Bombyx mori: one gene and its partners. Each later gene encodes a partner of the first gene's protein in a complex. Links are inferred from orthologs where the notes say so. Each region holds a gene or a part of one and is shown on either strand. Other genes may lie near its edges.

What was found.
Region 2: folliculin (region 1) and ragulator complex protein LAMTOR5 share a complex: the UniProt entries of both Homo sapiens proteins name them as parts of the lysosomal folliculin complex. The link is inferred for Bombyx mori from reciprocal best matches to the Homo sapiens genes FLCN and LAMTOR5.
Region 3: folliculin (region 1) and ragulator complex protein LAMTOR3 homolog share a complex: the UniProt entries of both Homo sapiens proteins name them as parts of the lysosomal folliculin complex. The link is inferred for Bombyx mori from reciprocal best matches to the Homo sapiens genes FLCN and LAMTOR3.

The regions. Positions count from the first base shown.
Region 1 is NC_085117.1:9,050,423-9,054,638, forward strand, and holds the start of folliculin, read right to left. Parts: upstream 2,830-4,216; 5' UTR 2,709-2,829; coding exon 2,442-2,708; intron 2,216-2,441; coding exon 2,030-2,215; intron 1,368-2,029; coding exon 1,232-1,367; intron 1,125-1,231; coding exon 871-1,124; intron 477-870; coding exon 299-476; intron 191-298; coding exon 88-190; intron 1-87. UniProt on the Homo sapiens protein: Multi-functional protein, involved in both the cellular response to amino acid availability and in the regulation of glycolysis.
Region 2 is NC_085110.1:1,233,024-1,237,352, reverse strand, and holds ragulator complex protein LAMTOR5, read right to left. Parts: upstream 2,915-4,329; 5' UTR 2,810-2,914; coding exon 2,537-2,809; 3' UTR 2,534-2,536; intron 1,648-2,533; exon of another isoform or gene 1,187-1,647; 3' UTR 65-1,186; downstream 1-64. UniProt on the Homo sapiens protein: As part of the Ragulator complex it is involved in amino acid sensing and activation of mTORC1, a signaling complex promoting cell growth in response to growth factors, energy levels, and amino acids.
Region 3 is NC_085109.1:12,157,849-12,162,102, forward strand, and holds ragulator complex protein LAMTOR3 homolog, read right to left. Parts: upstream 2,931-4,254; 5' UTR 2,779-2,930; coding exon 2,735-2,778; intron 2,418-2,734; coding exon 2,225-2,417; intron 1,492-2,224; coding exon 1,351-1,491; 3' UTR 240-1,350; downstream 1-239. UniProt on the Homo sapiens protein: As part of the Ragulator complex it is involved in amino acid sensing and activation of mTORC1, a signaling complex promoting cell growth in response to growth factors, energy levels, and amino acids.

The DNA of each region.
Region 1 (4,216 bases):
AGACAAAAAAACAAATAGAAAAATTCTATTCAAAACCCATATTTTAGTTTTTTGTATCAAACCAATGGACTGAGTTTTTCAATTTACCCTTGCCATTGTAAAACCAATGATAAGACATGTTGGCGAAGAACTGCTTCATTAAAATGTTCATTTTTTATTGCAATTTCAATTTTTTTCATCAGCGTTGGACCTGGAATAATTCATGTCATAATAAATCATATCATGTATAGCTTTTATCATTATATAACCCTTTAGTTATTCGTGAGTACTGAGTTAATTTCAATAGTAATAAACTCACAATTAACAGGTAAAGTTTGCATCCATTTGGAAATAAAATTACCATGTTCTATTTCAGATATAATACAAGGGTCTGTATTCGGTTTTTTATGTTTGGCTGATGAATCAAATTCTGGTAGTAAACTCCTGAAACTTATTAATATTTCTTCTGGATCCCTGAAATTGGTTTGCATTTGTATCTGAAACAAATAAAAAAAATATATATTGAATAAATGCCACCAATGAATTGAATTGAGAAGTTTGGTATATGTTAAAAAAAGATTAGCTTTAGAATCTATATACCTTTTAACTGCTGTAGATTGGCAGACCAAATTATAGACCATGTAATAGTGTGTACCCATTTGTTTGGTTACTTGCATAAATGGCACTACTTGAGACATGTTATTGTTTTGGTAATATTAGTTAATTATAAACTATTCCATGCTCTAAACAGGTTTAAAAAAGAACAGCAACAAAAAAACAGCAGTACAGATTCTACAGAATAATGTTAAACTAATACTAAATACCAGCTTGTTCGTTTATATTGTGAATATTAATAATGTGATTAATATAATAAAAAGTTCAAAAACTCACATTCACTCCGGTCAATGTACAGAATAACATTACTCTGAACACATTATTTGATAACATAGACTCCAAAACTCTCATAGGGATGTACTTTGCTTTACTTTCAATAACACTTGAGTTTGACTCCAGAATTGGGATAATGGGACTTATCTTTTTTAATAAATCTTGACTGGTATATAGATTTTCAGAAAACACACGTGCCCCTGCCTTTAGTATCCATGAAAAATGTGAGTGCAACAGTTTGAATATTTCTTTGTTTCCTGAAAACATTGATTACTGAGATGCGTGTAGTAAGCAGTGCAGGTTTTGTTTTGATAACAGATTTTACAAAATGTTTGTTTTAGAAAAAAAACTGAATAGTACCTACCTGTCAACTGAACAAGTGACCTTGACTGACCAAAATCATTTCTCCCTGTTCTTAACCTCAATGCCCTCTGTGAGCAAATTTTTTGTTCCTCATCAAAAACTGCAACAGCCAATTTTTGTAACTCTGCAGCTATGTTCTGAAAATATTATTGCAACAATGAAATAAGTGCACATTCATGGATCAAGCAGATAATCCATTCAAAGCAGTTGAGTTTTTTTTGGAATGGATTTTTTTTAAGAGTGTATGCAGTAAATGGTATCTTTTGCAGTCATTTTTGAGACTTCCTGATCACCTAGGAAAAAATGGTCTATGAATTTAGCTTGCTACGTTAATATCGCCATTAATGCACCTTGAAAAATGAGTTCTAAGTCCCAGTTTTTAATGTACAACAGCTGATTCACCCTTTAATTTGAAATGCATTACAGCTTTACAGCAGAAATAGGCACGATGTTAGTACCTGTCAATGTAGGCCCACAAAACGCCCTACCAGTAATAAAGCAATAAAAAAAAGAAAAAAAACTGCAAGTCTGCTTTTTGTATGGTGATATTCCTTCACTGCAGAAGTCATTCATGAACTTTTGTAAATTAGGTTTTTTATTTTTAAATGGGTATCTGTCAGTGGTATTTGAATACCAAGAGTCACATCATGAAGGACCGATCACATGGTAAAGATATTAAAAAATTGATTGTTTATTGTTAAAATAATAGATGTAATCAATTTTTCTTAGAATAATAAGAATTTAATATAACTTTCTTCTTTAGTGATTCACAAATATGTAGCACTTACAATAAACCTACTTTCATGTGTTCAGAGAGCATTGGAGTAATGTTCAAGAGCAACATCTTGTCTTTCATAAGCACCAGTATAGAGAACCATCGCTTGAGGCCTCTTGCTCGTGTATCGCACAGCTGGAATGTGAAGCTTAGCACATGACCTTGTGCTTCACTAAAATATACTATGCCACCATCCTTGCTCCAGTTTACCTAGTTATATAAATTTCATTAGATATCAATATTATAATAATAAAGAAATGGACGAGACCAATTAAAGTAAGATTGTATTACATTGTTAAGAAATTTATTTATGTACAAATATAGGTGATTATATTGTAATATATGATTCTGATACTAAGAGATAAGTTATTGAAAACGGTCGAAATATTTCTGCAGTAACAATTTAATGTAGGTAAATCCTATGAAATATACTTACTTCACAGGTAATACTTCGAATAGCAGCTTGTCTCAGAAATGACGTAACGTCGGCACTGGGTACAGATTCTCTGCTACAATATATGGTGCCATCGTCGTCTGTAGATTTTAAAACAGTTTCAGGACCTAACGAGGCACAGCCTGTACACTGAACACTTGCTTTGGAAGGTTCCGTAATGTGTTCGTCATTATCAGTTGTAAACGTGCAAAATAAAGATCGCGGTCCGTGTGCTTCACAGAAATGACAAAGGGTAAGGATAGCATTCATAATATTTATGGTAACTACAGCATTTATAATAATATCATGTACATATTGGATTAATTACGTTAAATTATAGAAGAGTTGTTGACATTTTTTTGACGGCAGGTGACATACAGCATTTTTTTTTACTTAAAATATTTTACGGTCTGATAGCGAGACTTTTAAGCCAAGTCTTATTTTTTCTCGTATTCTGTTATTTGAAAAGTTATTTACAGCAAAATGAGGTTAAGTGGATTCATTTGAGTCTTCAATAAATTGGGATGAAAGTTTTCCTTTTCTATGTATTATAAAAATAAAGTACAAATAGTAGTTTTTGATTTTATAACCTTAGCGATGACAACAATCGCGTCGTAAGGAACCTATTGCCGTCTGAAAGAAAGAAGAAAACATTGAATAAAATTAAAAAGAATTAAACAAATTTTAAACAATTAATGAGCTAACATTTTTACGACTAAGCTTGAACGTTAATTTAACAAATCCACGACACTTGGCTCAGGCGCTCCCAGCATAATATTCTTGCCTATTTCTGCCGTGAAGCAGTAATGCATTTCGGTTTGAAGGGTGGAGCAGCCGTTGTACTGTTACAACTAAGACCTTAGAACTCTTGTCTCAAGGTGAGTAGAAGCATCTACGTTGCTCCGGTAAGCTCGTCTACCCATCTAAGTAATAAAAAAAGCATAGATATTATATTATAAAATATAAAGATCTTATACAAGGAACTGGTATTTTGGCAAAATTTTATACGATTTATATTACATACTAGTTGGCTCGGCAGACTTCGTAGTACCTTAATCGATAAATAAAATACCTAAACTTTTGTATTAAATAAACTTAAAACAAACAAAAGGAATCCGTCCAACAGGGGACACATCAAAGGAAAACAAAATTGTCATTTAAATTTAATTTCGAGAATTTTCATATTTATCTACATTTTAAACCTTCTCTGGACTTGTAAAGATAATTCAAGACCAAAATTAGCCAAATCGGTCCAGCCGCTCTCGAGTTTTAGCGAGACTAACGAACAGCAATTCATTTTTATTTATATAGATACCTAATAGAAACTGGTAAACAGATTGCCCATCATTTAGATGCAGGTATACAACCCTGGTTTCCTGAAGCTACTACTACCTCTGTAGTAGTGTTACGGTCAACTATCTTCCTGCCCAATTCCCTTGTCTATTCTTAAGTACTAATGCTTGCTAGTCCACACTAGCGGATACCAATCTTGCGTATACCTCTCGCGAGGCAATGGTCTGTTTAATTGAGAAGGATAGGTTGATGATAGTCATACCTATTTTAATGTGAGGGCTGGCTTTGTATAATGTCTAAGAAACACCTATGATGATCCTTTGAGCCAAAAAGCTAGCCTAAATTGCACGAGCCACAAACGTTATTGCTTCTTTGTTCGCAGCTAACTTGAATTAAAATCGAAGTTGTTGGAACGCCTACCCCATGGCTAAGTTGTATTGCGGCATAAGAGTTGTCATATTATGGTGGTCATGTTAATAAACTAT
Region 2 (4,329 bases), on another chromosome or scaffold:
TGTAATAAATGTGTGTATATTGATGTTCTTGTTTTCTTGCCTCGTACTAGGAAAATAATAATCATTTCACATAAACCATATATTATAATATTTGTAAACCTCATATATAAAATAACAAGAGATACTTAACATTAAAATAATTGTTTCGTTTCTATAGTCTTTTAAAAGGCTATCCACAGTCTAAGTAACTGTTTGTCCTGTGGAACATTTAAGTTAATAAAGTGTAGGGTGCCTAACATCAAATCTTACAATAAATAGTCCATAACTAAATGATAAGTGTTATAGGTAGTTTTCCAATTACAGAGCATAATGCGACTCAGTGAAGCACAATGCCAAATTATGCTGAAGATTAATTGGAAAGTCAATTAGTTTTCAAATGCATCAGCAGAGTGCGCTAAGTTAGCACAGTTTTATTTAATATTGATTATTTCTAAGAAACTACGACGAAACGAAAGCCTTACATTTTTTTTCAACATTAAATAATATTACTAACGATAATATAAACAAAATTTCGATCAATGCCAACTTAAAGAAAAAACACTTGTCAATTTATTCTGTCACTGAGTTGGTACCGATTGCGAGTATCAGCAGTACTTTTGAGAGTGCTCGATTGTGCGAAGCGTTGCTGTAGTTGGAACATTCAACGTTGAGCATTATGCTGCATAATGCGCTCTTGTGCTGTAATTGAAAAACTACCAAAATGATCATTAATAATATTTTCTTACAGTAGAACCACTCCCCATACTTTTCCTTACTTAAACTTAATTTTTATATTAAAACTTTTAAAATAAGAACGAAATTATGATCCTATAAGAACAAACTTTCCACATCTAACAAATATTTTTTACTTTTTAGTATTTTTTAGCGAGCTGAAAAAGAAAGTTTTTAATTTAAACAATCATTTAGTTAACTAAAGCAACTTAACTTATAACAAAAAATAATTAATGCAAGATTAAACAGTAAAAGTACTTAAATTATGTTTACAACTCAAAAACCAAAGAAAAACATACTATGTTATATATTATTTGAGAATAATCCTGAAGATCCTGGTCAGTCCAATGGGATACTCTTATTATATTATTCTATTATTCTGGGCGGTCCTTTATAAGTGTGCTAAATTTCAATTATATAATGTTTCGAGGTGGGTTGAAATAATGTTCAAAGATTCCAATGCATACAGGCAAAGCTAATAAACAAGCAAATTAAAAAACCAGTCATTATTATTATTACATGAAGAAACTAGAGAATTTATGTGGTTACGAAAAACTTATACTTGGAATACAATATTATGTTAATCATAATTGTTAAACTTTTACTTAGTATGGTGGTAAGCCATTACAATAATTTAGCTGTTAATATTTATTCTCTTTAAAATAACATTATACAATGTTTATGTGGTTTTACATTTTATGATTGGTAGGTAATACTTTAGATAAATTTTGAAATTAAAATCTAGATAAAGAAGTATTCAAATTTATGTTATTTTGGGGGTCAGTTAAAAGTAAATAATAATTTTAATTTATTTCCTATCACTAGACATAACCTCCTGAGAGATGTTAAGTTAACATACTTTTGGCTGAATAATACACGATCTTCTGGATAGCTTGCTTACCAGAATAGTTCAATGTTGTTTTAAATTTTATTTTACTGAAAAACAAATAATAAACTTTATTTAACTGTAAATGAAACTTAAATAATTACTAATAATGTATGTGTGAATAATGTATGTGAGTATGTGAATGCTATCACCCACCATCTTGAGACTTCATCCTTATTATTCTTTTCATGAATGGATTTATTTTCAAGAACTTGCATTATAATCATTACTAGCGACCCGCCCTCGCTTCGCTTCGGAAACATTAAAACACACAGAAACCAAAAAAAAAAATAAAAAAAAATAAAAAAAAGTAGCCTATGTTCATCAGGGACAATGTCGGCTTCTAATGGAAAAAGAATTTTTCAAATCGGTCCAGTAGTTTCGGAGCCTATTCGAAACAAACAAACAAACAAATCTTTCCTCTTTATAATATTAGTATAGATTAATAATAATAGAAAAAATAATAGAATAATAATAGAAGTTTTTATATAATATATGATATTATATAAAAATAAAAAATACCCTCGGTGTGGATTGGGAGAGGCCTATGTCCAGCAGTGGACTGATGATGGGCTGATGATGATGATGATGATGAAGCAGTAAAGTTTCAGTTACTCCCATAACTTGTGTGTTCATAGTGCGTAATGTAATTTTCTATATAACAAAAATCTCATTATAAGGTTTTGGGGAATTTATCTTTTCGTGTTAGTGTGGAATCGTGTTGTAAAATACCGTGTTATAGTAGGGCTAGCTACCTGTACATTAAAATATTGTTATTACATTTCACTTATGTCATAACTTACAAGTAATTTCATGTTCCATAGAAAACTATGTTGTGAAGTAACAGCAAAGAGTTCATTTAAGTTCAAGGCCGTTCATACATATCATGATAAACAATTATTACATTTTCAATAAATAAATAAAATATACAAGTACCTTCTATGTTTTCAATTTAAAAATCGCTCCGGTGATCGTGCCATGTCGTTGTATGAGGCACTGTTTTTTATCAGTTTCAAGGCAAACTGTGGGCGGTTTCATGTTCGGTTGTATTTTACAGGCCTGTTCTGATATGGCAACGATTATCCCTGCAGAGTCTACGTGCGCGGCGCCTTTTGATGCCAAGCATAGTCCTTGTGGGTCCGCGATAAGACAGCCATTGACATTAGGCATAGACATGATTTCTTCTACGACTTTGTCTAGATCGTTTTCCATTTTTATTAAACAAATTTATATTAATTTATAAAAAACACGGTCAAAGTCGACTGTCGACTGTCTTTTGGAAACAAAACAAAAGATTCTTTGTTGACTTTTGACATAGCATCAGCACTGACAGATGTATTTTTTTAAAGTCTAGTTGGACAAGCAAATAAAGCCGTGTATAGAACTAAGTTTTTTGTTAGACTGAGCCGTGTTTGTGTTACGATAGCGAAATGGTACAAATAATTGAAAATAAATTTTTTCTCCTACCGACGCCGAAAGTTCGGTTTTCGTCCCGCTATACAGGGAAGAAAGTGTAACTTTTCCTCCTGCTGTACAGGAAAGAAAGTGTAACTTTTTCTCCCTGGGTTAAGTGTGCATGCGTCTACGTCTGTCTACGTCTGCTCTCACGCATCTAAAATTCTCCGCCATTGTTGTGCTCGGGTAATTTGCAATATTTAGTGTTTAGTGTAAAAGTAAAATAAACAAAAGTCAATAAAATTTAATAGTGAAGTATTAAACAAAGATGAATTCATCAGACAGTTCTTATTCAATTGGTAGTAGTTTTTTTAAAAATTGACCATAAAGATTTACATTACGACACAAAACTGCCAGCAGTAGAACCATCAGAGGACCACGTGCACTGGAACCGGAAGAAAGGACATACTTATGCGATGCCGTGGAGAAAAAACTAGCCCTAGAACCTCCTACAGGCGATGCTAACACTCAATGGGATACCGTAAAATCTCATCTCTGCGAATCCCTTGAAGAAATCAAGGCTTCCCGCAGAGAGGGAAATGCAAATCGGAAAAAAAACCAAAGTATGGATTTCGGAGCAAACAAGAGAAGCTTATAAGCAAGAGGAAAGACATCAAAGTGAAGGGATTACAGAATGATGACGTCAGGAAGACTTATTCTGACCTTTGCAAGGAAATTAAAAAAGCGTGCCGCCGAGATAAAAGCTGTTTCATTGGAGACATTTACACTGATATCGAAAAACATTCACAAAAATACCAACCGTCTTATTTGTTCAAGAAAGTTCGCCTTTTGTCTCGGAAATTTAAACCAAGATCCTGGATAATTGAAGATCCCAATGGCAAGCCTATCACTGATTTAAATGCCGTTGTCGAAATGTGGCGTAAATACTGTGAAGGATTATATGATCAGCCTCAGTCAATGAGTACACAACTCCCAGTCTGGGACGACATAACCTTAGAACCTTCAATAATACGATCAGAAGTAACAGAAGCCATCTCTCGACTAAAGAGCAATAAAGCTCCAGGACCGGATCACATCACGGCAGAAATAATTAAATCGCTGGGAGATAGGGGTGTGAATGCAGTGCATAGCATCTGCAATTACGTATGGCAACATGGCGAGTGGCCCAATAACTGGACTGAGTTGATCATTTTGCCGCTTCATAAAAAAGGGTCAACTAGGAAGTGCGACAATAACCGCACGCTAGCCCTTGTCTCACATTGCAGCAAAGTTCTACTGTACATTCTCAACACCCGCTTGCGCCACTTCCTAGATTG
Region 3 (4,254 bases), on another chromosome or scaffold:
AAGTTTATCACTATCAAGAATGAACACTTGTCATTGAGAAGGTGGCACTGCTGGTGATTCCTGATACGAAAATAAATGAATCCCATCATACCTAAAGTTGCTGCCCCAACCTTAATTTCCGAACGATAGTAGTTCTGATCTGGCTAAAAGGTTTGCTTCTTATAACTTAATAATTCAATGATAAATTCGTTCAGAAAACTATACAAGTAGGTAATTCCCAAAATTAAGAAAACAAGAACTAAAACAGTTAACTTTTAATGGTACGTAAATAGTTTCCTTTTTATAACTTTATATGTTTTGACACTTTAAATAGCATTTTAGAATTTCAATTCCAAAATTCAATTATATATACATACATTAAACACCAATAAACATTTAGGGATACTGTAACCATAGATAATAGATAATACACATAAACTAGTTGTAATATATCAAAGTAGCTACTGACATTTTTAGAGAAAAAATATATTTTAGGCAAATATCATACCAGACGTATTCACTACATGTCCATACATAAATCAATGAATCATATAATGCACTTTTTAAACAAATACCTGGAATATTGGACTGCATCTCTGCATCAAGCTGCATTGCATATTCCAATACGTCATCTGCCTTATATGTACACATTACTAACTATATGCAGTCAACCCTGCTTCTATATACATCTTATTAATATAAATTATTTCAGTTTTTAAACTTTTCTATCATTGTTAGTAATGTAGGTAGTTAAAAAAAGAAGATGTTATAGTTCAAAACTGACACTGGCAACACCAAATTTTATAGGTATTTGCACTCAAAGCATTCGAATAATATTCATATATGCAATTATGTAATGTTTTTGGATAAACTTTTATATTGCATTTAATCTATGTAATTGCAGATTTGCATTACTTTATGATGGGTTCCACATAACTTATTTTACATCAATATACTTTAGCTAAACAGATTATTGTAAAAAAACGCAAGGCATTGCCAATGTTCATATTACTATATACAGTTCATAAAAGCACCGAAAAATAAATATGTAACTTCGATCCCACATTAGCCTTAATAAACCTATTTTAGAGAGTTGTAAAAGGCTATTTGGTTTAAGCAACATTTTTGAAACTTTACAGGTGAGCCAAAATGTTTAAAATTTGGAAAAATATATCAGACAAAAACACTTCTTCTGCTATTAGAATGGAGTAAATTTAATTAAAGTTCAACAAAGTCTTGATGCTAATACCAATTAAAAGGTACCTTTAATTACAAAGATGAATGTCGCTTAAACCAAATAGCCTTGATATATTTTAAAAACATGTTTATATGAGTAATTTATGAGAAATATTTTGGTTTCGCTTGTTTGATTCAAGGTGCATCTGCAACTACCACCTCCAAGTCCTTCAAGAACGGTTCAATCTGACTCTCTAATGATAAGATGTGACCAGTGTTGCAGTTGTCGCTTCCAATAAATGTGATAACTAGGGGTAGTTTGCTCATTTGTACCACCTGTAAATTATGATTATTTTTATTAAACATGAACATTACAGAAATATTAGAAATACTATTATACTGTGAATGGCTCAAGATTGCAATATTTCGATTTAAAATAATTTATCAATAATTTTAGGGTTCTAAATATGTATTTTAAATTTAGATATTTTTTATAATAACTGATTGACTGAAGCCCAAAATTGTGCCCAGATTTGACTTCCTTTGCTATTATACAGCTTGTGTTAGCAATGATTCCACCTAAAGAAATTTAACTAACTTATTATACTCATTCCAGGCAAACAGGGCAGTCTCATTCTTCAACATCATGTATTTACTAATAACTAGCACTCAATAAGCGACAATAGCTCCATGTATGAGGGAGGCTTTATAGCCCTACAATTCTATAATTGACCAGAAGTGAGGTAGTTAAACCTCTTATATAATAGAAATAAATTACACAGAACTGGTCTAATTATATTTCACTGAATTAAACAAAATTTCTAACAAAATGATTTCAATCTACCATTAACGAAAACTGTAAAAACTACACAAGTCCAAAACATGTTTCAACAAGAAACGTACATGAACGCTACACACAAAAAAGAGGGCAAATGCGCAGCGAGGGATCTTTTTTATAGTTTGGCGCTGGCTCTCCGTCGGAGGTTGCCTGGTAGCACTCGGTAGCACGCAATAACTATATATTTATCACTTACTAAAAATAATAATGTATATTTTTTTCAAAACTAACCTGATAACTAGAATACATTGATATAATGGTTTTATTTCTACCCAACCCAAGTTTGCTAGCCTGATCTGTGGCCATTCCAAACGTGGATATGAAGTTAGGACGCAGAGCTAGTGGAGGCGCTCTTTCAGTTACCGCCCTCACAAGGGGTACACCGTCTCTATCGGTAATCAAAATACAATGTAGGCCATTTACTCTGAAAAAGAATAAAGTTAAGGCCATCAATAGTTTTTCTTTTTTATCCATCCGTACGTACTTTCCAAAGTCACTTTCTCTGTCCCTATATCCCTATGTATGCTTAAATCTTTAAAACTACGCAACGGATTTTGATGCGGTTTTTTTTAATAGATAGAGTGATTGAAGAGGAAGGTTTATGTGTATAATAACATCCATTAAATAGTGGAGAAATCAATAATAAATAACAATTTCCGAAGCGAAGCTAGGGCGGGTCGCAAGTAAGATAATAAAACGAAAAACCAAAGAGTAAAAACGTAAATTATAAAGTTTTCTTACTTTTCCAGTAAATGATTCAAGTATTTTCTAAGATCGTCAACCATATTTTTTACAGTGAAAAATCTTTTTTGGTTTTAGAAATATGGAAAGCTAGCAAATACTAAATTGTGAAAAAAATAAGGTTTGTTTATATTTTTTTAATGTTGACAGTTGACAAATTGGTTTTACGCCAGTAGTAATACTAATTTTGTTTTTCCAACTGGACAGGCAAAGGTACCTTAGTATATACCTTAAACCAGAGTTCCCCAAACTTTTTTGTGTCGTAGACCCCTTGCCATGTTTTTCCGTGTTGGGTAGACCCCCTACTTACCTGATATTGATTTCCTGTAAATTTCTAACTGTAGTAAAGTTTAGTGTTAAAAACTTAAAATAAAACCCATGTTAATTTATACATTTATTAATTGAATTTAAATTAAAACTACTCAAAATAAAATTTTGTATCTGTTATGTAAAATATACGTAACATAAAATAAACTATAAATAAAATAACATAACCCCTAGGGGTCGATATAGACCACTTTGGGAATCGCTGCCTTAAGCTTTTATATTTTAAATATATTTTTATTATGTATGAAAAATGATAATATGAAGTGAAATGAAATGAAGTTCATTCATATGAAACATGAAATGAAATGAGATGGGATGATAAGGGATGAAATACAATCTCAGTAAAATGGTGGCCATTTACTAAGATTTTTGAGTGGACTTTTTGGAGGATCCCGAGAAGTTACGTTCAGTGGCTTAGTTTCATTTTCCCACATTTGTGCACTTTCACAGTTATACTAAACAGTTTATAAACCACGGTTATTACACATTTAAACCTGAAGAAACACTAAATTGACAAAATAAAACAACTCACACAACGTCACTCCTCGCGTTCCCTCCAAAAAAAAGGTTTTAGGCCAATTTCAGAAATTTCATGAAAGTTCACAGATTACCTATATTCTATGATTATTCTGTTACAAAATCTATTTGTGCCTGTTGCTTAATTCAAAATTAGCTCATTATACAACGAATATGGATCTATATAGAATACTAATCCCACATAAGTCTATTAATGTTTACTATTTATTTTATTAAACAAATGCCGATAAGTGATCCGTGAGGATCCCCAAAAAAATAAATGAGATGAGAATGTCAGTAGCGAGCAATTCTTTTTTTTTTTTAATAAATATTACTGACTTGGAAACAGCGAAAAATTCAAATGTAAATGAACACAGATTAAAAATTATTTTTAAAGTCTATTGCCAAAATGGCAGAATCGAACTGACAAGTTGTGGGATTTTCGTAATTTATTTTTGGGTACAATAATTATTGCCTTTGTACTTCTAGAGATTTATTTGCATAGTCAACCAATTATAATAGAATAAGTGTTCATAAATGCGAAGCAATAAAGTGTTAAATAACATCACAATTGAATGTTGCAATATCTTGAATTACAAGTTTGGTATGATAACAAAAGAATAAAAAATCTCTTTCGCCTCAATATGCGTTCTTTTTCATGGCCTGTGTATCGTGAG